Drosophila melanogaster: one gene and its partners. The protein of the gene in region 1 interacts with the protein of each later gene in a pairwise test. Each region holds a gene or a part of one and is shown on either strand. Other genes may lie near its edges. The genes, in order: CalpB, Efhc1.1, CG11885 and RpS19b.

Region 1 (10,072 bases):
TGTGAGCGAAAACTTGGCGTGCCCTCCAGTGCGCACCCACTGGTCCATGAAGACAGACATATCTTTTCCGGTTACGGTGAAGATGGCCTTGATAAAAATGTTGGTCGAGATGAGCAGCTGAGACCAGAGTCCTGCACCGATCTTTGTCGTTGCCGCACTTGAAGCCAAAGCCAATTGCTTATTGAACACCTGAATCAGCAGCTCCTGCCCGATGCGGTTCTCCAGCATCCGGATTACGAAATGCGCTTTCCTTCGCATCGCCTCCACATACTTCGGCGATACGGTGTGCAAACTCTTGATGGGAAAATAGTGGACAATCTCCTGCTGTTTGCTGGAAGCCGCCGATTGATTTGTGCCCGAAACAGGCAAAGGAGCTGGCGGCTGACTGCAATCGAGAATAATGCCGCCATACTGCTCCTCGTAGCGAACGACACGCGCCAGTTCAGATTGCACCCAAGCACGGTACTCGTTGTTGCCGAAGCACTTCCTGGAATACAATCCACACAGGTACTCCGCAATGCCCTTGGCCAGCCAGGTGTCCGACCAATGATGGGATGTAATAAAGCAGCCGAAGAATTGCTCAGCCACAGCGCGCGACATAAAGGTTCGAGATATATAGGTCTGATCGATGATAGCTATGGAGTGCAGCAGATTCACCGAAGCAATGCTCATAGTGGCATAGGCACTTATGTCCGTGTCCAATTCGTCTACAAACACTTGTTTGTAGCAACTGAATGGGTAGCGCGTAGATAAGGTCTCCTCGTAAAATTCAAATGCCTCGTGCAAATAGCGAACCGTATTTTTTAACAGCGGCAACAATCCGGGCAGACAAAAGTGGGTCACTTCATGCATGTGCGGATCCACGTAGATCTCAAACTGACCCACAGCCAGCGCAATATTTGGTGCACATACTGGTGTGCTAACCGAATAGTGGAAGGTTTTCTTTCGCAGATCTGGGGTCATAATGACTTCTAGAAGTTCTCCACACGAAACGGCGGTCATATTTTTGTCGACAGTGAACTCCAGCCGCCAGGTGCAGGGATCGGCGAAACTGTCCACGCAGGGAAACCACAATCTCGACGAGTTTTCATAGCAATTGGTGAACATATGCGAGCTGTTCATCTGTGTCTCCTCGTCCGTTGAAGCGGGTGGTATGACAAAATGTACGCCGCATTTGGGATTCTCCAACGAGAACTCGATGCGGATGCGCAGACCCTGACCCTCCTGGATCATAGAGTAGCCCTCGGGCGGAACCTGGATGAGCAGTTCGCCGTTGTTCACATCGGGATCGGTGTACTGGGCGGCGGTCAGATGATGCTTGGAGTAGACCTCCAGCGCGCGGCTCTTGTGCTCCTTGTAGCAGATGTTCTGGAAGGGATCGAAGTACGTGAAATCCGCCTGGCAGACATCGTTCAAAACGACGCTGTAGATTCTCAGCTGCTTGGCATTCAGGCGTATCAGGCGCAGATTCTCGCTGTTCGGCACAATGGTCAGCTCGACCACGCCCTAAAGGGAGGAGGTGTGTTATGTTTTGTACATATTTAAGTGTATCTAAGTTATATCCTTACGATTATGCTCCTCCGCTCGAAACTGATGCCCGTGAGGCTCACAACCTGATGCGCCGTGCTATTCAAAAGGGAGAACTCATTATTTTTGGATTCCTAACAGAGCAGGGTGAATACTTATAATTTAAACGGTCGCAGCGGCACCTCGGGCACCTCAGGTTGCGTTTCCATCGCTCAAATGCCGGTTCTGCGCCAGAATTTATTAACTAATTTGCGTTTGTTATAAAAAAAAACACAGCACTGTTTAACTTCTTCTTCTTCTATTGAAAATGCCGACAGGGCTAAAAAAATACCAAATTCATTCGGATAAAGATGGCAACTCTGCGCGACAATGTAGCCCTGCTCGCCTTTTTTTAACCCTCGAAACGTGTTGGGTCTTCAATATTGACACTAATTTAATAGTTTACGTTCGTAAACAATATAGACTACATAACTACTTCTCTAATACCATAAAAATACATTTTTTAGAAAACTAAAATTTATTAAAAGCTATATTTGTTTTTATTGAAACTGTTTAATAAAACAAAATTAATATTTCTATAATATATTTTCTGAGTTAATAAATGAATTAGAATGTTATAAATATTTCATTCTGCATTTTCAAAGCTTTTTTGATTGCACATGCATATTCAAAGAAAATTTATACAGAACGCGCAAGGGTTAAAGATTATGAATCATTTACCGAGAAAGTTAAATTTGGATACTTCTCCCATTTAAAGCGTACGATTCTCAGCGAGTCAGCAGTTTTACCACGGCAGCGAGTTAATAAACATCTGGATATCATCCAGTTCCGTAGTTTTAGCCGATTTGCAACGCCATTAGTAGTTAGATTTAGGGAAAAACCAGTGCGTGGACGAGGAAAACCACAGCGAAAAACCAGTAAAAATGTACGGCATTGATAATTACCCCAAGAATTATCATGCCAGTGGCATTGGCCTTGTCAATTTGGCGGCCTTGGGCTACAGCAAGAATGAAGTCAGCGGCGGGAACGAAGGAGGAGGAGCTCCCAAACCCAAAGCGGGTCTCTACCCCTCGTTGCCCTATCCATCATCCGAATCCGTGGGCGGAATGCCATATGTGGTAAAGCAGACGAGTCATGCCCAGAATGCTTCGTATGCGGGACCCACCATGGGCATGGGAATGCCCGTGCCAGAAGCCCCCTCAGCGCCGGCTCCATACCCCAGTGCCACGCCATACCCTGGATCAGGACTTTATCCTAGTCTGCCATCAGCCAACGTATCATCGCTGCCGTACCCCACTGCGCCTATGGCGCCCTATCCAACCGGAATGCCCTATCCAACTGGCATGCCGCAGCCCAATCTACCCTATCCGGCGGCTCCGCTCGCACCATATCCATCTGCCATGCCCGGTTTGCCCGGTATGCCAATGCCGTACGCTCCCATGCCAACGAGTCCGGCTCCCCAGCACAATATCGGATTCCCAGCACTACCATATCCCACGGCACCGCCACCGGAAAGTGCTCCAACCCAGGAGGAGGAACCTTCCGTCGGCGTGGCCGAGCTAAGCTTCACCAGCGTGAAGGTGCCCGAGAACCAGAACATGTTTTGGATGGGTCGCAAGGCCACTAGTGCCCGGCAGAACAGCGTAAGCAAAGGCGATTTCCAATCGCTGCGCGACAGTTGCCTGGCTAATGGAACCATGTTCGAGGATCCCGATTTTCCGGCCACCAACGCTTCGCTGATGTACTCACGACGACCGGATCGCTACTACGAGTGGCTGCGTCCCGGTGACATCGCCGATGATCCGCAGTTCTTCGTGGAAGGCTATTCACGATTCGATGTGCAACAAGGAGAACTTGGCGATTGGTAAGACCAAACGCATTAATAACACATAAGTGGACATAAATTCAAAAATTAAATATTCCTTCACAGCTGGCTACTGGCTGCAGCTGCCAATTTGACGCAGGACTCGACGCTCTTCTTTAGGGTAATCCCGCCGGATCAGGACTTCCAGGAGAACTACGCTGGCATCTTTCACTTCAAGTTTTGGCAGTATGGCAAGTGGGTGGAAGTGGTCATTGATGACCGTCTGCCCACCTATAATGGCGAGCTAATCTACATGCACTCCACGGAGAAGAACGAGTTTTGGAGTGCCTTGCTGGAGAAGGCTTATGCAAAGCTGCATGGATCTTATGAAGCACTCAAGGGTAGGAAATGGAATATTATCAGTATTTGTAGAAGCGTAGAAAATTTGTGGCATACCAAAATTTATTTTAGTTTCTAAAAATACACTATGCTTATCATATGTTCTTAAAAAAAAATAAACTAATGTGGCACTTATCGCGGTTAGGACTTTGTTGAATAGATCTGAAATTTAAATACTTTCATTCTAATAATTTTTTTGTAACCATCTCTTCACGATTAGGCGGCACCACGTGCGAGGCCATGGAGGACTTTACTGGCGGCGTCACCGAGTGGTACGACATCAAGGAGGCGCCCCCAAATCTATTCAGCATCATGATGAAGGCCGCCGAGCGTGGCTCGATGATGGGCTGCTCTTTGGAGCCGGATCCACATGTTCTGGAAGCGGAGACGCCACAAGGTTTGATTCGCGGTCATGCATACTCCATTACCAAGGTGTGCCTCATGGACATATCGACGCCCAATCGGCAGGGAAAATTGCCCATGATACGTATGCGTAATCCATGGGGCAACGATGCCGAATGGAGCGGTCCGTGGAGCGACAGCTCGCCTGAGTGGCGATTTATTCCGGAGCACACGAAGGAGGAGATTGGCCTGAATTTCGATAGGGACGGCGAGTTCTGGATGTCCTTCCAGGACTTCCTCAATCATTTTGATCGCGTGGAGATATGTAATTTGTCGCCCGACTCGCTGACTGAGGATCAGCAGCACAGCTCTCGCCGCAAGTGGGAAATGTCCATGTTCGAGGGTGAGTGGACATCGGGAGTAACAGCCGGCGGTTGCAGAAACTTCCTGGAAACCTTCTGGCACAATCCGCAGTACATCATTTCGCTGGAGGATCCCGACGACGAGGATGACGATGGCAAATGCACGGCTATTGTGGCCCTTATGCAGAAGAATCGACGTAGCAAGCGCAACGTGGGCATCGACTGTCTGACCATCGGATTTGCTATATATCATCTCACAGACCGTGACATGCAAGTGAAGCCCCAGGGACTCAACTTCTTCAAGTACCGAGCATCGGTGGCGCGTTCACCACATTTTATCAACACGCGCGAGGTTTGCGCCCGGTTTAAGTTGCCACCTGGCCACTACCTGATTGTTCCATCGACCTTCGATCCGAATGAGGAGGGCGAGTTCATTATTCGCGTCTTCTCGGAGACAAGGAACAATATGGAGGAGAACGACGATGAGGTTGGCTTTGGCGAGACCGACGATCGCATTGCTCCGTCTCTGCCGCCACCGACTCCAAAGGAGGAGGATGATCCGCAGCGCATTGCACTGCGTCGTCTGTTCGACAGCGTGGCTGGCAGCGATGAGGAAGTCGACTGGCAGGAGCTGAAGCGCATCCTGGACCACTCTATGCGCGATGTTATGGTGGGCAGTGATGGCTTCTCCAAGGATGCCGTGCGTTCGATGGTAGCCATGCTGGACAAGGATCGCTCCGGTCGCCTTGGTTTCGAGGAGTTCGAAGCTCTGCTTACCGATATTGCCAAGTGGCGGGCGGTCTTTAAGCTATATGACACCCGTCGCACTGGCAGTATTGATGGATTCCATCTGCGCGGAGCACTCAATTCGGCTGGCTATCATCTGAACAACCGGCTCCTGAACGCCCTGGCCCATCGCTACGGATCGCGGGAGGGACAAATACCATTCGACGATTTCCTGATGTGTGCCATCAAGGTTAGAACATTCATCGAGATGTTCCGCGAACGGGACACGGACAATTCGGACACGGCCTTCTTCAACTTGGACGACTGGCTGGAGCGAACAATTTACTCTTAAATTACTTGCAATTGCTACTAATCTAATCCTAAGTGCGACGTATACTTAATCTACCTGTGCATCATATTATTCATGCATTCAAATGAGAAAGCCAACACACAAATCCATGACAATGCGATCCGGCGATGCAAAGAGATACACTCACTGAGCCAACAAGAGAATCTTATCTATATGACCATATCCGGAAATACAAATCATGTGGCGAAATTGGAGTGGCCTTGGAACGGCACGAGGTTGCTACGAGTATGCACGGTAAACAGTATAAATCCCGCATACACAATTCAAAAAATTAACGCTATAGATTTTTTTTTACCATGCTGCGCAACTGGAGGGATGACTAAGAGCAAGCATCAATAGCAAATCCACTCCATGCACCTCGTCAAGAGCCGGAAATTTACTAGTACAAACAGTGCATTATTACCTTACAATCGCTATGAGACGCTCGGAAAGCCATTAGAACGCATCGACAATATTTATTAGATATACGGAATGAATAAGCATGTATTTTTGTAACATCGTTAGCTCCGAGCAGTCCACATATTTGCCCAGGTGCTAGAAATAAGTCCAGCCAAACTCTGTTACCCAAACAAACGTTGTTATTATTATCAGGAAAGTAACGCGAAGCGAACAAGCCAACCAACTCATCGAATATTTATAAGCTTAAGCAGAATTTCAGAATATCAGTCAATTTATTGAATCACATCAAAAAATGTAATACGCATATATTTTGTATTTAGTTTTCAGATCAGTAATCTCAAAACATACCTTAATTAGGCACCCTCTATGTCAAAATAAGTGTTTAACTAACTGAAATTAACCAATCGGGTTTAGAGGCTCTTTTTGTTGGATGCTTTTATATTTTACTATAATTTTTGTGAATTAATCAAAGTTACTCTTGTATGCAATTGTTACTATTAATAATTTGTTGTCCGACTTTTTGTATGCATATAAATAAAATGCAGTGATGATTCAATCTACTTGACGACTATAACTACATCAGCACCATTCGGGACGCCAGCATCGATCATTATTTGCTTCATTTCATCTATAGCCAGATTGTTATCGGATGCCAAGTTATTTAGGACCTCGAGAAAGTCTTCGTACTCCAAACGCCATTTCCTGAAACATGTATTTGATTAAGAATGATATGTAGATTTGATGTAGTTACTCACTTGTATCGCATGTATATTAAACCGGTCTGAGTTCGAGTTATGGGATTGGGCATGAGCTTGGCCTGCTCTAGCCAGGCGTCCAACTGCGAGAGGAGTATGCTGTCAAAGTACTCGTTCTCGATGTCGGTGGGTATGACCTGGCATCATTTAGATGAAAATTACTCTTCAATTAACCGGGTCATTCATCATACCTGGAAGTTGGAATACACCAAGAACAGGCTGTCCAGCGTGTGCTTCTTTGGTTTATCTTCATCATCGGCCATCGTGTATTATGTGTGTTGGGTGTTGTGGTGTAGTGTATTAAATCGAATTTGTACAAACGAGAATGGTTTCCCCTGGCAGATAAAGAGCAGTATTCTGTGTGGGTGTCATGGCTATATGTATGTGTATTTTGAATTGTTTTGTTGATAAACAAAACGTACAGAGAATCGGATGCTATCTAGACAACTGTTGCCATGGGCACGGGCCATCGTTCTAGAATTGTTTACTGCAAAAGTTTTGAACGACCTCTTGGACGCATATCGCCAGCTTGGGATTCCAATCGAGGTATCGGATATTCTCCGTGGCATACGGCGCATCGATGACCACCTGACGGAGTATATTGATCGCCACTTGGTCGCCTTTGTTCTGCCAGATGATAGCGGGATCACCGAATCGCTTGACTAACAGTCTGAACAGAGCTTGACCAAAGGGCGAGGCATTGGGATGATAGCTCCGGCAGGAGAGCGTACGATGTTCGGTTGCGTATCGGTATCGTTCTCGGATCTGCAATTGCAAATGGTTGAATGGGGTTTCTTTTAAATATCTATATAGAGAGTGCTTCTACCATGGGCAAATCAATCGGTTCTGGCTGTTGAACTTCAGCCGGCGGAATTGCTTCCTTTACTATTTCAATGTCCATGCACAGGGATAGGTTCACAATGGTCACATTGCAAGTGGTCTGTTCGTCGCCACCGCCATTGCTTGATGGACACTTCATTATCAGCATTTTCACGCCCAGATCGAAGGCCACAACCTGGGAAATTGAAAGCATTACATAATCATAAAAATAATAAATAATATTTAGTTTTACCTCGCCCGAAATGTTGTCGCCAAAACAAGTCTTGCAGCGCACAATAGAGCCCACAGTAAAGCAAGGAGCCAATGATGACATCTTGGCCAAGGAACTTAAAAACTTTAAAAATGTAATCGAAATCGAAAATCCCAGCCGATGTCCGATGTCAAGTTCAAGGCACTCTATTCTACTTTCATAGCCTTGTCATTTTGTCGCCAAAAAGTTGGTGGTGCTTGTGGTTTTATTTCTTTTTATTTACAGTGTATGTATGCTAATTTATAATGTACTAAATATAAATGTTGTTGTATATATATATATATATTTCAAAAGTAAACCGTTCCTTTTAATCATATATATATATGCAATTTCGCAGTTTAGCAGTTGCTGTCTAAATTAATTTTCTTTATATCTGCATGAGCGTTTGCTTGTTCTCTGTTGTTCAAGAAATGTTGCTTTGTTTATTTGCATTATAATTATGTATTTATGGTATTGTATATGCGCGTATGTGTATGTACCTTCATTAGCACTATTAGCATACCCTTCAAATTGTTTCTAACGCCAGGCAACAAAACGCTTTCCTCCGCTTTGGCGAGAACTGAGAAAAAGTGCATTGGTTAAATTTTAGGCAACACAAAACTCAAAAGCGTATCAACGAATACGTAATGTATGAATACCGAAATATCTTGCAGGACAGGCACGAACGGATAACAAATCGGACACTTAAACAACGAAACTGTACAATCTTTAAAATGGATCCTGACGATTCTAAAAATGAGATGCACTGTGGATTGATCGGTCGCTGGTCTAATAACTAATGACTGCCAACACAGATCGGGGTTTTCCTTTTTTACTTTTAGCACTTGAATGGTAGCTGCACGGCGACCCTTGAAATATTCGCTTTTAGTATAGTGTTTAGTTAGTTACGGCCTTAATATCCTAATTATGCTCTTCAACGGGGAGACCTTCTTTCGTAAATTTAGCTAGGTTTGCTATTAGTTTTGCTCGAAACGAAGAATTTTTGTATGTAGCTGAACTGCTGGAGAAATGTTCATATGTTCCGTCTGCAAATTGGCTGCTTGTGTTTAGTTTTAAATTTAATATCAAAAGGAATGATATATATGAATAATATATATATATAAAAATAAAACAATGCACTTTCTTCCTTGCTACTGGCCCCGTGCTTTAGCTTTACATTGGCCCATCGATGGCGCTCACTTTAAGGCGGAAATAGTAGGCGGACCTGGCCAGCATGCAACCCGAAATCACGAACAGCGCCACGTAGAGGAAGTACATGCCACCATGATCCTGGAAAAATGCAAAAGGAAACACACATATGGGTTTAGAAAATCACATACTTCAGCTTGATTTTAAATTGATTTGGCTTACCGAAGCAATCGAGTATGTGCCGATAGTTACAGCGATGCCTGTGATGAGGAACACCAGCGCCACGATGGCGAACATCACGGCGCGGCTGTTGGCAAAGCGCGAGCCCACCGATGAGACCTTCCTGCAGTGTGGACACCGGGCCAAGGCGTTGTGATACGTGTTGAACTGTAAGAGCAAGCGTTACAAGACTCCTGCTGCTGTGATTTGGATTAATAACTCACCAAAAACGTGTCCGAACAGTGGCCACAAGTGACGCGGCACATGCCCGGCATGGTTGGCACGGGCGGGGTGACGGGACTTGGGGCCAGGTTGATGATCCTCTTGCAATTGGGCCTTGGACAAGCGATTCGCTGCGACGAGCTCTTGCAGATTAACAAACAGTTGCATGGGCAGCGAACATACTTCTTGCCCGCTGGAGCGTTCCGAATGGGCTGTTGATAGCCAAAAGCGTATTAAGTTACAATTGGATTCAAAGAATCTGCTTAGAATTACTCACAGTAGCCTCATTGCAGTGGGTGCACTTGACCACGTGCTGCTCCCGCTTCGTGGTGATGTCAATCATGTGTTGACATACCCGACAGGTGACCATCGGGACGCCTCCGGTGTTGGTACTCTGCTGATACGGCGGCGGCAGCTCATCGGGTCCAATGCAAGGCACTGCGGTCGGTGCTCCATTGCCTAAAATTCCATTGCAAAGTATTATTAACTACTTATAATATTGTTAAGACCCATGCCCTTCAAAGGCGAGACCTTTGGTGTAGAATAAATACATCTCGCCAGCAGAGTTCGCTCAACCACACTGCTCATCTGGCGGTGATTGGCTCATGGAGGGAGTGAGAACTGCATTTTCTGATAGTGTGCAGTGTGTGGCTCTGGGAAGCTGCGATAAACCAAATGGGTCAATGTTTTGGCGTTATGAATGCAGCTTTCTCGTACAAGCATTAAACT
Region 2 (8,891 bases), on another chromosome or scaffold:
AACCAATCCGAGTTCTTAAGTGAGTTGGACCAACTACTGTCCACAAACTCGCCGGAGAACTTGGTTCGTTGAAAGCGGACCTCGTTGTACCCACTTGTAGTAGTCGTGGGCAAACTCGAGGGCATCAATAACATCCCCGCGAGCCGCCTTGAAAAGACCATCCACGCTCGGCTGCTCCTGCTCCTGCTCGGAGTCCTTAGCCTGTGCCTTCTTATCCGTTTCAGATGGCAAATCCTCGAGCACTGTGCGCGTATAATGTTGCGTGAGCGGCAGTGCATTGTAGGGGATTTTCGAGTCGTTGAAGTCGACCACCTTGAAGCCGTAATAGCGGGGCATATTGATCTTGATCATCTTCTCCTCCACCGTCGGCACCTGCCGGATTTCCTCGTGCCAGTTGGCCGCATCCTTCTGCTTGCGCGCCTTGAAGGACAGATCCTGAATCTCCGGATATGCCGGCTCTGCGTCCGTACTATTCAGCTGCAGCTGCGACTGGCCGGACAAACAGCGCTTGTACGTCGTTCGCAGATGGCGAACACGGTTAAGCTTCAACATGCCGTCGAACCTAACGCAAGTTACGATTTATGTTTTCGAAGGAATAGAATTGACTTCAGTTTTTTGACAATAACTAGGTTATGTCATTGCTGCAGTGTGACCGCACGCTGGATTCAGAATAGGTTGCGCCAAGGTAGCGACGGAAAGTTTTGCGATGCCAGTGAAAGTAATGGTATAATTTCTATTTATGCAGTTCAATAATAATTCATAATGAATCATAGTCCTTTACTATTTAACGTGTAGGGGTACAAAATTTAACTTGCTTATGTTTCAAATCTTTTTATTTCTGAAATCAGTTATAAATCATCGTAATATTTTTTAAGCTGTCTAGAAAAAGCTAAAAAATAGTCTTGTTTCATTTGGTATATTTTCCCCTTGAAATAATGGCATATGGCTTAAAGGCACATGCCTTAAAAATCACAATTGTAAACTTAAATCAACAGAGATCAAAATAATTAACAGACTTCTCTGCGATAACGCTTTTGACAATTTTGAATAAAATGCACGTTACAAACAGTAACATATGTGACCGTGTAACGTTTTCGATAACGTATCCCACATCTTTTTCAGCTGTGCCAAGTGCAACATTGCTAGACAACACTTTCCAGCCCTGGAAAAATACCAAGACATCTACCATCTCTCTAAAAACGAAAACATAAACGCTTACCAAGAAAATCGTAGATTTTCTACACCAAATTAAAATAAACTTATAAAAATTTTCAACCTTAAATCCTTGGCAATTTCCATGTACACGAGGGTGGCCACATAATTCTACGACATTTACGGATGTTAATGTTGAGGTAACCTAAAACACAAAAAAAAAAAAACAAAAAAAAAATCTTCGCCATAAAAACGATTTATTAAAGTAAACAACGGTACGGAGTTGTTTATGCTAGCGACTATCAGTTCAATTGTTTGTCCACGACTGCAACGCTGTCACTGCAAGCCGAGCAGAACGCCCAAGTATCCGGTAAGACTAAGCCGCAGACGATGCCTCATTCATCCGCATGCTGAAACTGCAACTGAATCGAAATCGAAATAGGAATAGGAATCGGAATCTTTAACTAAAACTCAATATTGGTCTGCAACTGAGTCTGAGCACGCCGACGAAATGAATCCCTGTGTGCTGCCCACCCCATTGCCCGATCTGGATGGCGACAAGCGTTGGCACAGCATACATCGCCGGTTCATCTCCGATTGCCGCGAAAAGGATCCGGATGTGATATTCCTCGGCGACTGCATCTTCGAGACCGTCCAGGACACGGAGGCCTGGAATAAGTACTTTGCGCCGCTGCACTGCCTTAACTTCAGCATTCGCGACGACTGCACCGAGCACGTACTGTGGCGCATCGAAAACGGTGCGCTGGACAATGTGAATCCCAAAATCGTCGTCCTCCATGTGGGCACCAATAATGTGCGGAACAGCGCGGAGGAAGTGGCCGAGGGTGTGCTCGCGAACGTAACGAAAATCCGGCAAAAGCTGCCCAACGCCTATATCGTTTTGCCCGTAAGTACAATAGTTGTGGTATTAGCCAGCCGCAGTAAATCATCGACATTCCCATCTCTCCCTTGCAGTCGCTACTGCCGCGTGGCCAGCAGCCCAATAAGTTGCGCGAAAAGAATGCCAAAATCAACGAGGTGGTCAATGGATTGACCAAGGGCTTGTATCGCGTCCAGACGGTGGCCATTGACAAGGGTTTGGTCCAGACCGACGGCAGTATCAGTCATCACGATATGTTCGACTATAAAAATCTAACCAATGCTGGAGCGAAAAAGATATTAGAACCACTCTACGATCTGCTTTCTCAAATTCTCAACGAAAACGAACCTGAAAACGATCTCACCCCCTCCGAATAAAAGGAATATCCAGCAGCTATCCATTATATATATACATACATGCATACATACACACATACATATACCACAAACAATTCCCAGAATATAACTTAAAACCAGAAATGTATTTTTTGAAATCTCATAAGCTATAGAGCTGCGAGACTAACTCACAATTAAGCATACATTTTTCGTATCGAATAGTAAACCATCGCATATACCATTGCATTATGATATTATTTTACATTGTATTTATAAGAAAAGAAAAAAAACCGAAATGACTGTCATTGGGTAAAATAGAAGTTATCTTCAAGCATCAGACATTCATGGATTTTCGCTAGCATTCGTTTTTTTTTACGTTTTCCGTTTGATCACCCACAAATTAACTTTTGTTTGATATATTGACAGTATTCTTGTATTTTATTACTATTTTATGCATTGACAATAAGAAGTAAAGTTTAATGCAAACCGTGGGAGACGTTTGATAAGTGTACACGTAGTGGATTTTTTAAAAGAGGCCAAATCTATAAATAGGAAGTATGCGGACCTGGAGAAATAAAAAAAAGAGTAGGCTCCGCAGGATCTGGACTTAAATTTTCTTCAATAGTGCTCTGTATTACATTTAGAGCGTACACCAAATATACAAAATATTTCCAAAGAGAAAAGGTCGAAAACGGGTCAATAATTCACATAAAATATATACAATGCTGCGCATTCCTGGAATGCCCCTTCTTCCGGGGACTCTCTTTCGCGATGTAAGTACTTCGGATTGAACATCAATTGGGATTAGATATACATCTATGCGAGTAACAGGTATCCAAGGGACATTACCCCAAACCGCAATCGCTGGCCAATGTCCAAGGTCTGAGCATGCTGAGTGATCGCCAGCAACCGGCTCCTGTGGAATCGGGCAGCGTTACGGTGGACATAAGCTGTCCCCCAGTTGGGGCGTCCTCCATATATCCGCCACGTTCGGGTCCCCGTATGCCTCCATGGCTGGCGTATGACAAGAAGGTGCTGTGCTTCCATGCCTACTTCAAGCAAACCCTTCAGGAGGTCTACCATGCGCCCTATCTGGTGCGCAAGGTTAAGATCTACTACTATCTGGAAGATGGTACTTTAGAGATCTACGAGCCCCGGGTGGACAACTCGGGAATTGTGCAGGGATGTGTAGTTCATAGGCAGCGGGTCCAGAAGGCGCCGCCGTGCGATAATGAGTTCATGTCCCTCATCGATCTGAACGTGGATCAGACTGTTCAGATATTTGATCGTCAGTATCATATCACCGATTGCGATCCGTTCACAAGAACTTTCTTAAACAAACGCGGCATAACCGTTCCCGATCCGGTCAAATCGCCATGGTAAACGATATTTGAATCTCGGAAATTACCCATTTATAATGTCCATTCTCATATAGCGATCCCACCGAGGAGCAACGAAAGCGTGAAAACCAACCGCGATCTGGTAATTTAATCCCAAAGAATCATCCGTTTGCCCAGTTCCTCAAGTACGATAGGCAAATACTCAAGTTCCAGGCGTACTGGGACGATAGAACCGAGTTCGGAGACGTACGCAAGCTGGAGCTGTGCTACTATCTCTCCGACGATACCATCGAAATCAAGGAGCAGCACATTCGCAACTCAGGTCGCGACGGCCCAACCGTTTTTCTTAAACGCGGGCGCTTAGCTCGAGTAAGTAAAAATAAGTATAGATGGTACTGGTATTTACCATAACGACTTACAATACGATATTAGCAAAGTAAATTGGGATGTTGTAGCCCAGATCCCAAGATGTTTGAGATAGGTTGGTTTACATGATATCTTCTTGGGATTCCTTCTATTGAACTTTTGTAGTTTCGGATCTCTTGATATTTGAAATCTTCCAATTTCCCTATAAACCTGTAGATATAATTAAGAGTGTAGGTAATTAACCTAATTAGCTGTGCAAAACTGTAATATTGACCAAGTTATATCGTATTCATGTCATAATATCGTATTTTTGCCATATTTATACATATTTTTAAGGAAAAACTATCCGTTTTTTTACATTAGCAATAAAAAAAGTGGAATGTCATACCTCGTTGAATTCGTAACCAAATTCACCATCGATCTGTTTTCAAAATTGCAAATTTTAACTTTTTGCCATTTTCACATATTTTGCTGATTCAAAAATTTGTAAAAAAATGGATTTTTAAAACTCAACATGAAAATTACACATGTAGTAAGATCCGTTTATTAGCCGCATAAAACAGTTCTTTCTTTTAGTTATGATGGAAAATCTGTTCGCAAATATCATATTTTATGATTAATACTATATATCTGTTTTTGGTAGGAGTTCGAAGGACTCCAGCTGCCAGGACAGATGACCCCGATGACGCTACTGAACGTCCTGGGCACCAACATGCGCAACGTGCGCTACTGCGTGGATCCGCTGAACACTGGAAACAAGGAGATTCATTACTATAGGGAAAAGGATCTCCAGATAGGCAGTGTGATAAACGTGTATGGCCGTGCGGTGGTGATAACCGAACTGGATCCCTTCACCCAGAACTATTACCGCCAGCGATATGGCATACAGGATTTTACCCCACTGCCGATCCCCGCCAGATCCGATGATTGTGCTGACCATAGATCGGAACGACAATTGCCACCGTACAATGGATGGGGTAGCTACGAGGATTCGGTGGGCAATTGCATATCGGTCGAACCGAAGCCGCCAAAGTCCGATTTCAAAAAGTTCATCAAATACGATCGTTATGTGCTCCGCTTTGGCGCCAAAATGCTCTCGACCATCAAGGCGAATTGCGAGCGAATCTTTGTGATTAGCTACTATCTATGCGATGATACGCTGCAAATCCAGGAGATCGCCGTGCGGAACTCCGGATTCCTCGGTGGTGAGTTCATGAAGCGCACACGCTTGGAGTTGCCTGGCCAGGAGAGGTTCTCATGCAAGCAGCCGCAGTACTATATGCCATGGAACTTCTTTGTCGGATCGACTATGTCGCTGAAGGACTTCATTTTTCACATAGTCTCGGCGGACGAGTACACGCTTATGTACATGGAGCACCATCCGGAGATCTTTCCCCATGCGAATGTGGGTGTGATCATGGAGAAGGTGAAGAGTGCCCTGCAGAATCGCATGGCGGAGTTTGTGGGATCGTGTGTTCCGGACTGTACGGATCTTGAGAAGAAGCGTGATGTCTTTGTGTCCTTCGAGAGTTTCAAGGGCGCCCTGATCAGCATTATGGGTAACCAGATCAGCGATCACGAGATCATCAGCCTCTGCCGGCACTTTTCGGCGGAGAAGAGTCAACCAAATGCCTGCGATCGGTCCACGGTGCGGGCGGCGGCTCATCTCGAGCTTAAGAGAACCCTGTGGAATGCTCGGGATGATCTGATGGAGCACTTCCATCACATCAATCCGACCAACCAGCCATTCCTGCCCGAAGTTAAGGTGAGATCGGCACTGCGGGGATGTCGCCTGCCATTCTCCTTGGAACTGATCGACAATATACTCTCGATTCTGAATCGCAACGAGTGCGACGACATCGAGGTGTGCGACCTAATGAACTTCATCGACGTATCATGCGGCAAGGGCTGCGACATGCTGCCCGTGAACCACGCCTTCGAGCTCTGCCCCAAGATCCCGTTCCTGAACAAGGGTCGTGTGGTGAACTTCACTTGCTTCCTGAGGGAACTTAATCTGCCCCTCAACTTGCCAGCCGGCGGCGAGAAGAACAACGATGCGATTGCAGAGGGTGGAAGGATAATGCCACCATCGGCCATGCCCGATACCGATGCCCACAAGGCGAATGAGGACGACGCACAGCACATGGCTTGATTGAGACACGTATCTTGCAGTGCACACACATATTTCGTTCCAAATTATTTGTTGTAATTCCTTCCATTATCTTGAATCGTCAAAAAAAAATATATATTTTGAAAAATCGATTTTCTTTACTAGGATTGGCAGATAGGATGCATAGCCTAATTGCTAATTTTTAATAACAATATTTTGCAATAGCAAAACTTAGTATATTTCGTACTTACATATATAGATAGTTTCTAATTTAGAATTAAAAAAAAAAAATGATTTTCATGATGCATTGTTTCGAATGTTGCTTTGGTTTATTTCACCAATGGTTTTATAATTGATTTATATATCTTTAACTGATATTTTGTGATCCAGGAACCAAGATCATTCAACAGTATTTACGATATCCACATATGCTACTATGGCAACCATTGTATATTGTATGTGCTATTGGAAAACACGTCTAATTCCGATTGACTGGGCAATTCAGTACCAACTCGCGATCTTGGCAGGATTTCGTCTCCCGATCGAACCACTGATTCCGTGGGCAATTATGGCGCTTGACCCGATTCTTATGGCACATATAGAAACGACGGCAATGTTTGGGATCTGTCAAATACTCGCCATCGTTTATTCCACGGCAATCGCGCTGGGATCTCAGCACATCAATTCTGTTAGTGAGTGGATGCGGAGTAACTTGGAAGATGGAATGGGCATCATCTGCATCCTCGGTATCGAGAATAAGTTTCGATTTTTTGGTGGTCACTGCGGGTGTCACTGTCGTCGTCGGTGGACAGGTGGTTGTTTGTGGTGGCGTCGTGGTGACCTCCCCATTGGCCTTTCCATTGGGCACCAAAGTGACGTTTGCTTTGACGTCTCCCAGCACAGAACCGCCGCGATCCCCGTTGAAACATTTGACTAGTCCGGGTAGATTGCAGGTCTGGATCTTTGGATCGTAATACAGGCCATTGGAGCACTCGCGCCGAACGGCATTACCACGCTGGCACACAAAGAAGCTGGAGCAACTGGCCGGATCCGCAAACGACAGGCCATTGAAGCGATCCGCACAAACGGTGCTGCCCAAAGCTTCAGTCAATGGCACCGCCGACGACACTAGGATCACCACAAATAGATGCTGTGCAATCCCTAAAGACGAAAGAATATACAACAATTTTAATATAGATTTAACAATAAGATCTTTAAGCTAATTGCACATGCATGTTGTTTGGACACACATGCAGACATTATGATCATATTGTATATATCTATTTTTGAAGTATCCCATATATCCTTTGCTATATAATCGATGTGGTATAATCCATTGTTCGACGTACAAACTTTCATGTTGGTAAACCGGCTTGGAGGTGCTGTTTCAATAACGAGACAAATTTAGTCCAGACTCGCTTTTATAGTCGGAGGCGCCTCCTTATCGCCATCGCCATCGGCAGACGGCGACGGTTACATGGGTAACGTTCACTTCTTGTGTGGAAAACACGGCTTGGACAAACAGTATACTTTTCGCGCGTGCTGCGGGAACTAGCGTGTATCGCCAATGAAACCATTAGGAAATTGGCAGGGAATATATTTAGATATATGTATATTGCTCGTAATGGTTTTATCAGCGTCTGCTATTTTGGATAATGCATCTCGAAATAGTTGCACTCGCCAGTTTCACATTTGATAACAGTTTTGAAAAGAGCAAATAGTTATGCGATGTCTTTTAGATATCCATGTTCCATGTTCTAACAACAATAATAATACTACTACTTCTTGAATAATTCTTTACTTAATTACTTTGCAACTTTCTGTTTACACAATTCGTTTAGTAAGGAAATGCATCCTTGTTGCTTTTCTGGCGATGAATGCTAAGGAACACAGAGTTTACCGACGGCTGAGACACGGAGAAGGAATAGAAATCCTGCTTGTTGCGATGCAGTGTATCGACGATCCTGGACATGGGGTACATGTGACTGGACAGCCAGAAGCAGACCCTGGGAAAACTAACATTCCTGCAGGGATAGAAAAGGAAAGAGAAAATTAGAATGGAAATGGAAATGGAAAGCTGTGCCTCAGAGAAATGCCTCACTTGATAATGGCATGTGGAAATACGTTTTCGATGACTCCGCACAGCTTTAAGTACTTCCATCTGTCCGCGCTGTCAGTGAAAGCCGCGGAGAACTCCTGATGCTTGTGCCGCAATAACGTCCCAGTGGTCCCTGCTCTATCCTCCTTTGCCTCCGTCGATTGCGAATCAAAGTCAATGGGACTGCCCAGCTCGGCCAGATGGATTCTCGTCTCCACCATGTAGTACGATGAGTAGTAGTTCTGTTGCATCTCCTCGCGCTCCCCAATCACCGCGATTCCTGGATAGCTCAGCGTAGCCATACGTAGAGCGGGCGTGGAGTACGCGGTGTCGCTGCAGGTATAGATAATGCTATGACCACGCCTGCGCAAATCGTGGATTATGTGCAGCATGCTGCGCTGCGACACGATATCCAAATGGGTGAAGGGATCGTCCAGCAGGATGAGCTCGGCATCGCTCATCAGGGCAATGCCGAGACTCAGTCTTTTCAGTACGCCCTGACTGCAGATGGACAGCGAGTTGAAGCGATATTTGTACAGCCCGAAGATTTTGCACAACTTTGTGGCCTCCGCCCTGAAGGAAATCTGTTTGGAGCGTCGAATACGCAGTA
Region 3 (6,123 bases), on another chromosome or scaffold:
TAGTTGTCACACTCGAAAAAAAAAAACTGTACACAGATGTTGAGAATTCCACATAGAACGAGTAAATTTGATTAGGTTGGACAGAAAGAAATCATATTTTGGAAATCATATTCATATTCATATAATAAATAAATATTTCGATTCTCAAAAAACTTCTTCTTTTCGTTCAGTATATTGTGTATCTGTGTCCGATTCAAGTGTTTGAATTCCTCGGCTGAGTTCCTTTTTTCGGGCTCTTCTGCTGCGCTTCGATCACTGGAATTTTAAAACCGGATGCGTGTCATTCCTCTGCCCCTCCAAGCCCGAAAATCCAGGGGCATCAGGAATGCGGCTGCTGCTTCCTGCGGTTCATCTCCCTCCTCCGCTCCTCTGGACTCCTCTGGGTTCGAATCTGGTCTTAGTTCTTGGCTCGTCTCCATGCCATCTAATTTTTCTATGCCCATAATTTGTACTTCCCGCCTACCTCTTTTGCACGGGACCTAATTTGTAGATTCCTCCGCTGCTGCGGTTGCTGGTATCGACTGACTGGCCTCTAGCAGGTATAGGTGTATACTCGCCATATGGAAAGGGTCTTCCGGTATAGTTTGAATTGGTTAGGTTCGGGGTACGAGGCGATTACCATGGATACCTGGTCGGCCAAAACATTAATTACTTTGCAGTGCGCCTGTTCCGGTCCCTGGGGAGTCACCCTGTTGGGACACCCTGACTATACCTCTCTGTAAATCTACCTAAATTTTTAATGTTAATTTGAGCTTAATATAACCAACTTGTTTCTTGGTTTGTCTTCCGGGATGCATCTGCATCTCCTCTGCTTTCTGCTTTTTGGGAAGTTTAGGTCTTAATCTAGATATTAACTTCTATCTGATAGATTAGGCAGTGTTCACGTTTAATTTTATTAACTAAAGCCACATAAAAATGCATCGGAATAGAGTTTAATATTTTCACTGGTGTATCATTAATGTGAGTGACACACTAATTTCTATGATATTTTATTATTTAGGGTCTCTGCAGCCAATCGTAGATGGGGTCTAAGCCCACTTTGGTGACGGCGCTGGCCTCCACGATGGTCACCTGCTGGCGGATCTGTTTTTGCAACTTCTGCATCTGCAGCATGAGCAGAGCCTCGTTTCGCATCTGGCGGTAGGAGTAATCCATTTTGGCCAGTACCAACAGGATCTTAGTATTATGCCTGCGACGAATTTAACTAGTGCATGAGCTTTCAGTTCATTTCCACCTTACTTACTGCAGACGCGGCTCGGTGAGGATTGAATAGAAAAGAACGCCGGCGGCTGAAATCTGACAGAGATTAGAGGTGTCCACGACGTAGATCAGCTTCTTGACATCCTCGAAATACTGCCTCCACAAGGGGGCCATACTCCCTCCAATTTCCAGGATCTGTATGGACTTGGGCAGATTTTTACCGCCATGAGGAATGTTAGCTGGAGCTTCTGAGGGAGGAGGCTTATTTTTATCCCCATTTGGCGATTTTGTTGGGAAATGGATTCGGTAAATCCCAGTGCCAATGGTGGGCATGGAAAACGTGGTCTCATCGATGGATTCCGGATCCTGTAAAGCTTTCAAAAGGTGCGTTTTGCCCGCTCTTTTGGGGCCCAAGCAAATGCAGGTGGACATTTTTGCTTTTACTTGGATTTTATTTATGGATCTAACAAAGGTAGCCTTGGTTACCAAAGTTTATTAATTAATTAATTAAATTAAAATTGTAAAAGTTAGTTCAGTAAGCACGTACATGTTGTTATTTCTGGCTTATTTTATATATAAAATATTTACAAATGGTTGAACATTTAATATCAATCGCGTAATCGAAATCTTGTGTCAGTAGTTCAATTATTTTCTGCATGATGGCGCTCTCAGGAAATCAGTGCAAACGTTTGAACTGCGTGCTTCGGGAGTCACGAAACTCGGAACCATTCGGCCACACTTCATATTAGCACATCAATGCATAATGACTATCGATAAAACATCGATGTATTTTTCATCGTTTTTTCATGCTGTCTCATCGTAAACAATATCAACATTGTTAAACGCTTTTAAATTCTCTCAAAAAATGAACCACACAGCAAACAAACCTCGACAAATCGGATTCGACAGGCAGTTCTCAGCGGACGTGAACGGCGTTCCCACGGAGATAGTGTTCCACTGCTTTGCCAAGAAGTGGTTCTTAGTCATAACGCAGCTCGGCAAGATTCCCGGCATCTACAACGTGCACTTCGATGTCAAAAAGGACGAAAGAGTGGTTCCCTATTTGCACGGACCCGTGGACAATCCGGAGTTCCACGTATCGGTGCCAATCACGATGAACTGCTGCTTGGGCTTGGACACCGACGAGACTCGCAGCGCCATACAGTTTCTGGTCAACAGAACCGGACTCCACAAGTGCCCGACGGAGTTCGTGGTGGGCTTGGGTCTCAAGAAAATCGACGGACCCAATCTTCGTGCCCTAGCTAAGGTCCTCGAGGAGACGTTATTCTAGTCTGCGTTCGTTATATCCAATAAATATTAGCTGTGACAGTTTTTGTAAAAAAAACCTTGAACATTTTAATCGTAGCCTTCAACCCGGCTGACCAAATTATTGGCCATTCTACTGCAACCTCTTTCATGTGCTTAAAAACCCAAAATAGAATCTACTCACAAAAAGGCAGTGGAATGACCAATAACATAGTAAACCATAATAATTCTGCACCGTTGTGAAAGGAATGAGTCTCGATAATTTTTTAGCAAACGTCTTCTATATTTCCTCACATTTGTACATTAAAAACGTGTACGCAGGTCGGGAAACGGGTACACGTCCACCTCTCGAGGATTACAGCACAAACACAACGGATGTCCGGTTGTCGAGAAGTTCTCTAGAGGATTTAGTCGAACAGACCGAAGCCCATGTCGTCGTCAGACTGGTCGGACTCCTCCTCCTTCTTCTTCTCCTCCTTCTTGGACTCGGCGGCTGGAGCAGCGGCGGCGGCAGCAGGGGCAGCACCACCGGCGGGAGCGGCACCAACTCCGGATCCGATGTTGGTGATCAGGTCCTTGACGTTGATGCCCTCCAGGGCCTTGGCGAAGAGACCGGGCCAGTAGGGCTCCACCTCGACGTTGGCGGCCTTCAGGATGGTGTTGATCTTCTCACCCTGGTGAATCCAAAAAATAAGATCAGCACAAGTTGCAGCAGTGCGAAAGAAACCATAGGACCCGCAAATTGTCCAATACTTCCGGCCGATGGCCGCGGCTTTGGAGGATTTGCTTCGTCCCCGATTGCAATATCGAAAAACTTACGGTGACGGCGACATCGTCATCGACGAGGATGAGGGAGGCGTAGACGCAGGCGAGCTCGGCTTTGGTGGACATGTCGAAGTGCTGTGGCTAATCACTGATTGTGCAAGTTGCCAAAAATTAATTGTTTATAACAAATGGCCTTAGCTCGGGACGAGAACAAGCACGCTGGTCAAAATCCTAAACCGGAAAGAGCAGTTGATATGCAGTGTGACCGCGCCGATGACGAAGAAAAATACCAACCGTCTATGAAAATTTGCATATTATTGTCAGGAAATACTAGGTAGAGGAAAACTCGTTCAAACTGCCGAGATTATCTCTTATTTAAACTAGTTTATTTTTAAGCATCTTGGACAGAAGCCTTAGCATAATTCTCTGGTTATATGTTTATCTCTCTATTTTAATAAAAGACCTTTCCGTACGGTTATTGAGAATATTAAAAAAAAGATATTTTGGTATAATGACGAATGAGTCACACTGCAACTTTATGTATACAATTAGTGTGCCCATAGCGTCGTTTAAACGTAAACAAAAAAAAAGCGCGCGAAAATGTCGGACCAAGAAGACGTAGTTGTAAAAAAAGAAAAAAAATGTATAGAAAATATTGATGAGAACGACGAAGAGCCCGATGATGTAGATTTTAAGGACAGCGGAAAAATAAGCTCCTTGAAGGCCCTGGGTCCATTTATAGCCGGCAAGGAGAATAGCCGCAACACGGTTTACCTCAGCGATGTTCCGGATATTTGCAAGGATAAGCCGTGCATGCTGGGCGTGGACGAAGCAGGGCGTGGTCCCGTCCTGGGACCTATGGTATATGGGATCTCCTACTGTCCACTGGAAAGTAACAAGGCTTTAGAGGACCTGGGATGCGCCGATTCCAAACAACTAACCGAGGGGAAACGTGATATCATATTTAACGATATCAACACCAAGGAATATGCGACCAGTTGCGTTGGCTGGGCCGTGGAGATCATATCGCCGAACACGATCAGCACCAGCATGTACCGGCGGTCGAAGTGCTCCCTGAACGAAGTTTCCATGGACTCGGCCATGGGCCTTATCCAACAGGCGATCGATGCGGGCGTCAATATAGCCGAGGTTTATGTGGATACGGTGGGTCCGCCGGAGAAGTACCAGGAGAAGTTGCTCAAACGTTTCCCCAGCTTTAAAATCACCGTGGCGAAAAAAGCTGACTCCACCTATCCAATAGTCTCTGCTGCTAGTATATGCGCCAAAGTTACCCGTGATCATGCCCTCAAGGTGTGGAGCTTCCCCGAGGGCTTGGTCATTAAGGACAACGAGTTCGGCAGTGGATATCCGGGAGATCCGGTCACAAGAAGATTTCTGACCGAGTACATCGATCTAGTGTTTGGATTTCCACGACTTGTGCGCTTCAGTTGGTCCACCGCGGAAAACGCACTGGCGGACAAGGCCTATGACATGGAGTTCGACGAGCCGGATTCCGAGAAGCCCAAGTACGCCGGCACCAAGCTCACAAAGTTCTTTAAGGGCACAACAAAATCCGGCGAAATAATTCGCGAGGAGTGCCGCTTCTTTAAGCAACGCCATCTGGAAAGTGTCATGGAGTTTTAGCAACAAATGAAAATAAAATTAAGTTCAGGAGTATCTATATTTACAAAGAATAAAGTTTAATTTAAGTACTTTAGTATTAAATTTTAAAATGCTAAAATACAAAAAACACCCAGGCCCAAAACGAAAACAGATTAATTTTTATCTTTAATGTATTTTTGCTGATGTTCTTGTGTTTCCGCCAATCTCGTGTTCTTAATAATTACGTTCGATTACTGACTACGTGGGACTGCAGTTACACTGTTCTGAATGTATGCGTGAATCGGTCTGATCTGATCTCTTGGCATCCCTTTTTTGGAGGACAACTGTGGAATTGGGTAAAGGACTTTTGGTGGGGAGGGCGGGGAGTTGGCTGGCATCTTTGATCGATACAATAACAAAATGCAAAGTTATACTAAACGATTTTCGTATAAAAAGGGACGACCTTAGAAACATGGAGCTTATGATTAAGATTAAAATGAGGCGAGTCGCATCCCGCTGATCTGAAGAGAACAACAACCATGTTGAAGCCCCCAAAAATCCCAGGTGCATATCGATATTTTGTGACTCGAAACTAAGCGTACGAAATAGACGTGGACAAAAGCGGGAGGATCTCATCTCAAGAGGTATACCTTAAAGAACTAATTAGAATTTAAAGCAATTACAAATACGATTGCAGGGCGGGATAGCTAAGAAAGGAGTTACCTAAGGTCCGGACTCCAGATCCAAATCGACTTATGTTGGTAGAATTGTAACTGATCATATTTCACTTCTTTAAAAAATATAGTTAAATGCAATTTTTGAATCAAAAGTAAAAACTTCTCGTTCCGTAAGAAAGTGAAAAACTACCGATTTCATTTTTACCAAATAATGAGCTGGAAAAGGAATCTTGACTATTTTAAGCGTTGGCTCAATACACGAAATCCAGTTGTGGCTGCTCCGGCAATCAGAACTTTCGCAGGTCCAACACGAAAACGCTACCGTCGGAGGCACTGGCACCCACCTTAGTGCCCTTGGAGTTCCAGCACACCTCAAAGATTCCGCCCGTGCCCTTGTAACTGTGCACTAGCTGTCCCGTTTGCGTGCTCCAAATGTGTACGCACTTGTCGAAGCTGCCGGAGGCCAAATGCTTTCCATCCGGACTGAAGGCCACCGAATAGACTGGCTCTGTGTGCTTGGTGAGCGTGTGGATACAGCTGCCCCTCTCCACGTCCCACAGTCTTACCGTGGAATCGAACGAAGCGGATGCGAGGATCAGGTTTGTGTTTGGAT
Region 4 (5,946 bases), on another chromosome or scaffold:
TCTTCTTCTTTTTCCGTTTCTCTATCAACAATGTAGCCTCAGTCCAACAGTCAATTGAAAGAATCATTAATGACGGTACATTCTGATTATTAATTCTTTTCGTTACCACCTATCCATCCTTAAGCCCAAAAAACTTTTTCTACCTCATGTTTACCTTTTTTGTAGTTAGTTTTGTTCTGTAACGTTTATTTTGTGCATTTATTACTTGTTGCTTTATCCAAAAAAAAAAAAACACAATATCATAATCAGACTAATACCAGGAACCATCCAATCCTATGCTTTAATTCGGTATCTAATTATTTGGTGGCTTAAAAAACCCTGTCATATATGTATATGTGGTCCCTTGAGCATGTGGCACTCTTAACTAATCGCTTTGTCCTTTTGTTTCCCCCATCGCTGTTTTCCTGCAGAATCCGTTCAAGAGTCCCTGGAGCGTCGCTTCGGCCGTGTGGGCGGTCGCATCCCCGTGACCCCCTCCGAGTCGTTCCAGAAGCGCATCTCCGGCGCCTCCGAGAAGGATATCGTGCACTCCGGCCTGGACTACACCATGGAGCGCTCCGCCCGCGCCATCATGAAGACAGCCATGAAGTACAACCTGGGCCTGGACCTCAGAACCGCTGCCTACGTCAACTCCATTGAGAAGATCTTCACCACATACCGCGATGCCGGCCTGGCCTTCTAAGCCCGCTGAGTGTGCTGATTAGCCCCCAGACTCTTAACTAGTTAATTAAGCAATCGAACTCAAGAGCATAACTATTGCTATTGCTCCATGCACCGCCGTCTTAGATGAAAAGTCACAAAACCGAAATGCAAGAATCGTAATTTATATCTATGGCAATTGGAGCTGGCCAAAATAACTCTTTTAAAAAACAAAGCAAAACAAAAGCGAACTTTCGCCCGTGTTTCGTATTAAGTTGAACAAGTTGCGAGCTTATTATTGTTGATTTTCTGTAATTTTTAAGTTAATGAGCGTCAAAGTGAAGCAATTGCATTTTCAATTATGTATCGCAACGTCTCGTACCGTCAAGTCACGTTTATCGTACGATCGCTCCGTTGCCGTAACATTAAAATAATCAAATATACACAAAACTAAACTCTAAACAAGTGCATTTTAATTGTCGATTGCGGTTGGTCACTTAGCTAATCACAATGGAATACTCGTACGCAAAAACGTATATATCGCTGGATCGACTGGAATGTATCAAAAATATATGGGTTCTATAATACTATAAGTACACTTTTGTGATTAAAAAAAACGGAGATACAGCACAGCGTGCATGTGAGAGTATCCGTGTCCGTATACAAATTGGAAGAGGTTTGATAATCGTTTAAAAAACTAGTGGATTACAAGCTACAGGGAATAAATGTCTCCGGGTCCGAGTGCATGTCAACGTGGTGCAATCTTTTGATAGAAGTAGTGAATCAAAGAACCAACGATTTCGGAAACAATTGCTGCTTCACATAGTCGTTAATCATCTCCATGAGCAGCTCGCGAGTGACTTTCGGATGCTGCAGCACGTAGCCAAAGTCTTTCAGTTTCGTGTTATCCAAGTAGAGGTGCTTGTGCTGGAGCTGCTCCTCATCTAGGTACGGTGTCAGCGGGGTGTTGTCGATGCCATTGCGCTGGCAAATCTCGGCCCAGGGTGCCATGTGCTTGTCGTTGATTTCACTGACGGTGTCCGTGGGATAAAGCTGAAAATTCAAGCGAATAATAAACAATAAGCTGAAGCTTAGTGCGCCGATTAAATGCTAACTTACTTTTGCCAAATTCGACATTACAAGGCCGAAGAAATCCAAATTGATGTCGAAAATATCCACTAAAAGATTACTAATGGTGCCCTGCGTCGATGCTGAATCATCGCAGATGTTGTAGATCTGACCGGCGGTCTTGGGACTCTGAGCCAATTGCCAAACGGCAGCGCACACGTCCGATACGTGCACAGTATTCAAACGCATGGCATCGTTCCACAGCAGCTTCATTGTCTCGTTCAGGTATTTGTATATGGCAGCGATTATAATGCGCGGCACTGTAAACGAAAGGCAATGGGTGGTGGGTTCGGGATTAACCCATGGGCTTTGTCAATTACATCAATTATCGGGTATCAGCGAAGAGGGACACTCACTCAAATAGCGCTTATCGCCAATGCCATAGACCACGGGCAAACGGACGACCGTGTAACTGAGATCGTCGATGTTGGCCAGTTCCTTCTCCACCTTGAGCTTCTGCTTGGCCACGCCCGTCCAGGGATCCGTCTTGCAGTCCTCTTTTAACGGCGTCTTTTCGCTGCTGTTCACACAACCAGAGCTGAGTTCCACGTATCGTTTGACCCGCTGGTTAGCCGCCTCATTGGCGCAGTTCAAACTGAGCTTCAGGATACCCTCCTTGTATACGGCATCATCCTGGTTGGCACGCGTCTCGGCCGCACAATTGATGACAATGTCCCAGGCCCGTCCAGTGGTGGGGTGTGGCGCAAAAGCCGCCTTGCATGAGGCTGTATGAAAACAAAGGGAAGCGTTCTATAACCAGTTTAGGTGCAACAAATGCATTAGGGTGGCTCGTTACGCGCAGCGATACCAAGGTGGTACTTGAAAATTCTATATCCGATAGCGCTTTCCTTTCACAAGAATGTTAATTGCGGATTTTGGATCTCCATAGGAGTTGTGATCCGCATCCTGGTGGAACGAGCCACCCTAATGTAGTGATTACCTACCGGCGTTTATTAGGTTCGCGCTGCAGAACTCCACCCGATCGCTCTCGAAGACCCGCGTCTGCTCCTCGTTTAGCCATGCCATCTGCGGAGGGGTCTTATCGGCCAGTCGTATTTCCTGCGCCAGTTCATTGTCCAGCAGATAAGTGGCCAAGTTGCGTCCAATGAAGCCGCAGCCTGCGGGAAGAGGAAGAGCAGCGATGCAGTCAGCGATGCTGATAAGCGGAAGTGTGGAGTGGGGAGCGGGGGCAGGATGACGATGAGGAGGATGCAGCGGGACCACTTACCACCCAAAATCAGAACAGTCGGCTTTTCAGACATGCTGCAGGCGCGACACGGTCAACCGGAATGCGAATGAGTCAAGTCGAAAGATATATATTTGTTAGCGCTCGAAATGCTTTTTGTTGTTTTGTTTGGCTGTATTTCTAGTGTGACCATCCCGTGATCATTCTTAAAACAAGAAATACCTTCAATGCTCCACAAGCTGGTCACCCTATGGCGCTGTATTCAAACCTCTTCGAATGCTCTTCAATTAGCGTAGAACGTTTTATTCATTTATACAAACCAAAATACAGCAGTTCTTTGATTCTTACTCCATAGGGCTTCAGTGTCATAAAATTGTCCTTGTTAGTCTACCTTAAACCCCCTGTCACCAAGAACAGTAGTTTTGCTACATTGCGTTCCTTTCCAAGTTTATAGGTTAAGTTTTCGAAAAGAATTGCCAAGTTCACCAATACTGCACGACAAAACTATCGGAAAGTAATCCTTTGGGGTCAATGACCTGGTCCCTCTTTCAAACGTCACTTGCCAATCGTCCATTTTGACTAAAGTCAGCAAACTAACCGGAAGCAAACCTTTTTCTTCTCAAAAGGTAAGACTTTTTTAAATACATACATACATATATCGGACCCATGAGCCTTAAAAACGTGCTTTCAAGAACGTAGAGAGCAACATGCCTGGAGTCACAGTAAAGGAAATCGATCAGCACGTTCTGACCAAAAACATGGCTGCTTTTCTCAAAAAATCCGGAAAAATTTTTGTGCCCGAACAGGCCGTCTATATGAAGACTGGCAAGTTCAAGGAGACTGCTCCTACCGACGACGACTGGTTCTACACTCGCTGCGCCTCTATTATGAGACACCTGTACCTGCGCAGTCCCGCCGGCGTTGGGGCCTTCACCAAGGTCTATAGCGGGCGCAAGCGCAACGGTGTTCGTCCGTCCAAGCACTGTCGCTCATCGGATGGCTGTATTCGCAAGGTGAGTGGGAAATGGTTGTACTTTAAGGTTATATTTAATATTACTTAGCATGTATCTAACACATGAGCAGGCTCTTCAAGCCTTGGAAGCTGCTAACATGGTGGAGAGGCACCCGGATGGTGGTCGTAAGCTGACTCCGCAAGGACAACGTAACTTGGATCGCATAGCCAACAAGATTGTGGCCAAGCAGCGAGAGCGCAGTGCACCAGTTTCCATGATTATCACTACCTAAGATGATAATACCAATACCACGATGGATCATCTTTGAGTGCCTTGGGTTTTCAAAACATTCTCAATAAATCGAAACCAAAAATAAAATTAAACAATTATATACATAATAAAATAACTTAATACTTGAAATATAAACGATTCGAAACTTTATTTTTGACACAAACACGCCGAATAGCAAGAATCCAAGTTATAAAATGTTAGCTAGACCACAAATCTCCCGATTTTTGGTTGCCAGGAGCTCTGAAACCGCGAACTATGACCTCGGCCTGCCACCAACCGCTGGTTTCATTTGCTGCTTTCAAAACGTCATGCTCTTCGTTGGTCTGGCTAACGTCTTCCCCAGATTTATCCAGATTCCGCACGCCAAGATCGTGGTAAATATCCATCTCCTTGCAGCAGCGTAATTCATTCGGTGTGTTTTCACTGCAATGCAGTAGATGCAGGTGTATGTTCTTGCAGCTGCGCGGAAGTTGGCTTAATATATGCTTTGGGATTAGATTAAAGGAGTCACAATGGGATCCTTGGGGTCGATCGGAGTCTGTAAGGAGCTCCATTTCTAGAAACACGTTGGTGACTTTTAGTTCGGTGGAGAATAGCCTGTACAGCTCCTCGCAGGTGAGCAGGCGGAGCAGCGCCTGGTTGATGCGACCTTCGGGCAGAGCATGGTGCTCGCAATAGTGATCTCTGGATATGGAATCATGTGGTATGTGCAGAGTATAGGCCTCCGAGGGCATGAACATATTGTTGCCAAAAAGAAATCGCAGGCTCTTCACTTCAGAGCTCCTGAAGGCTTGTCGGATGATCTGTAGGAGAGAACTGGCAAGTAAAGACCAAAAGAAGTCCTGGATGTAAGGGGAACCTCACCTCTCTCATGTCACTAATAGATTCCTTGGTGGCCTTTGCCTTAGAGCGCTGCTGGTTGCGTTGGTAATGAGCAAAGGACTCCTGATCCTTGGATTCTCCCGATTCATCAGCATCTGACCATTTATCCACATAATATTTGTATGTTTTGTACACGAAGGGGATTTGCCGGCGTTGATAGAGCAAGAAGTCCAGGATGCCATTCACGAACTCCGCTGTTGTCCCACTGGTCAGAACCTCAATGTTATCCAGTTTAAGATCAACATTCTTGACATTTTGATCCATTAAAAGGTCGCAATATAACAAATTTAAACAAATGCTCTTTTCGCACTAATTGCAAACGTTGCCAGACTGAAACATTCAGTTTGTTTACAGTAATCGATAAGTATATAAAACAGTGACTTTTAAAATTTGCTTTTTTCAAGTCTTGAATTCATTTATATTTTGGTTGTTAATCATTACTATTGTTTTAATCCGATTGCTTAAGCATTTCTTGCCTATTTTAATTTTCACGTTTTTTTAAAATATTTGTTCACCCTTAGAGTTGCCAGACCTTCATGTTTCCATAGTACGGCAACACAGCTAACGCGAATGACTAGTAATTTTGTTGCCGACAATAAAGAGTAAAAAGTTCATCAAACGTTCGGCAAAGCAGCAAGCACCAAGACAAAATGGTAAAATAGCACCTTCAGAACACCCTGAACTCATTTACGATCGGGAACAATACATTTGCAGGGACAAAACCAATCGGCTCAAGGGGGAGCTGGCGAAAAGAAAGATGACAAGGATAAAAAGAAGAAGTACGAGCCTCCAATCCCAACGCGCGTTGGCAAGAAGAAGAGGCGCGCAAAGGGTCCAGATGCGGCCATGAAGCTGCCCCAGGTCACG

What was found.
Region 2: the proteins of CalpB (region 1) and Efhc1.1 interact in a two-hybrid assay, tested with the Drosophila melanogaster proteins (one large-scale study listed by BioGRID).
Region 3: the proteins of CalpB (region 1) and CG11885 interact in a two-hybrid assay, tested with the Drosophila melanogaster proteins (one large-scale study listed by BioGRID).
Region 4: the proteins of CalpB (region 1) and RpS19b interact in a two-hybrid assay, tested with the Drosophila melanogaster proteins (one large-scale study listed by BioGRID).

The regions. Positions count from the first base shown.
Region 1 is NT_037436.4:9,886,834-9,896,905, forward strand, and holds CalpB (Calpain-B), read left to right. Parts: upstream 1-1,928; 5' UTR 1,929-2,450; coding exon 2,451-3,391; intron 3,392-3,457; coding exon 3,458-3,732; intron 3,733-3,950; coding exon 3,951-5,512; 3' UTR 5,513-6,486; downstream 6,487-10,072. Other genes in the region: Taf2 (TBP-associated factor 2), read right to left, coding at 1-1,506, 1,569-1,623, 1,687-1,736; CG6709 (uncharacterized protein), read right to left, coding at 6,487-6,631, 6,685-6,821, 6,876-6,947; Hez (hezron), read right to left, coding at 7,159-7,449, 7,511-7,699, 7,757-7,837; CG6707 (uncharacterized protein), read right to left, coding at 8,927-9,043, 9,125-9,289, 9,346-9,555, 9,621-9,802. UniProt on the Drosophila melanogaster protein: Calcium-regulated non-lysosomal thiol-protease.
Region 2 is NC_004354.4:15,777,833-15,786,723, reverse strand, and holds Efhc1.1 (EF-hand domain containing 1.1), read left to right. Parts: upstream 1-3,013; 5' UTR 3,014-3,089; coding exon 3,090-3,140; intron 3,141-3,198; coding exon 3,199-3,746; intron 3,747-3,802; coding exon 3,803-4,076; intron 4,077-4,716; coding exon 4,717-6,225; 3' UTR 6,226-6,326; downstream 6,327-8,891. Other genes in the region: mRpS30 (mitochondrial ribosomal protein S30), read right to left, coding at 95-552; Paf-AHalpha (Platelet-activating factor acetylhydrolase alpha), read left to right, coding at 1,664-2,059, 2,128-2,409; CG43673 (uncharacterized protein), read right to left, coding at 6,662-7,344, 7,533-7,542; CG43672 (uncharacterized protein), read right to left, coding at 8,021-8,207, 8,285-8,891.
Region 3 is NT_033779.5:417,309-423,431, reverse strand, and holds CG11885 (uncharacterized protein), read left to right. Parts: upstream 1-1,981; 5' UTR 1,982-2,065; coding exon 2,066-2,491; 3' UTR 2,492-2,537; downstream 2,538-6,123. Other genes in the region: CG13692 (uncharacterized protein), read right to left, coding at 997-1,189, 1,244-1,632; RpLP1 (ribosomal protein LP1), read right to left, coding at 2,874-3,140, 3,286-3,357; CG13690 (uncharacterized protein), read left to right, coding at 3,832-4,875; ebi, read right to left, coding at 5,798-6,123.
Region 4 is NT_033777.3:23,931,110-23,937,055, reverse strand, and holds RpS19b (ribosomal protein S19b), read left to right. Parts: upstream 1-3,525; 5' UTR 3,526-3,579; intron 3,580-3,645; 5' UTR 3,646-3,660; coding exon 3,661-3,966; intron 3,967-4,036; coding exon 4,037-4,198; 3' UTR 4,199-4,327; downstream 4,328-5,946. Other genes in the region: Gdh (glutamate dehydrogenase), read left to right, coding at 37-75, 411-682; CG5854 (uncharacterized protein), read right to left, coding at 1,423-1,692, 1,759-2,027, 2,124-2,492, 2,712-2,885, 2,996-3,029; CG13599 (uncharacterized protein), read right to left, coding at 4,395-5,000, 5,062-5,343; Rpt2 (regulatory particle triple-A ATPase 2), read left to right, coding at 5,730-5,732, 5,794-5,946.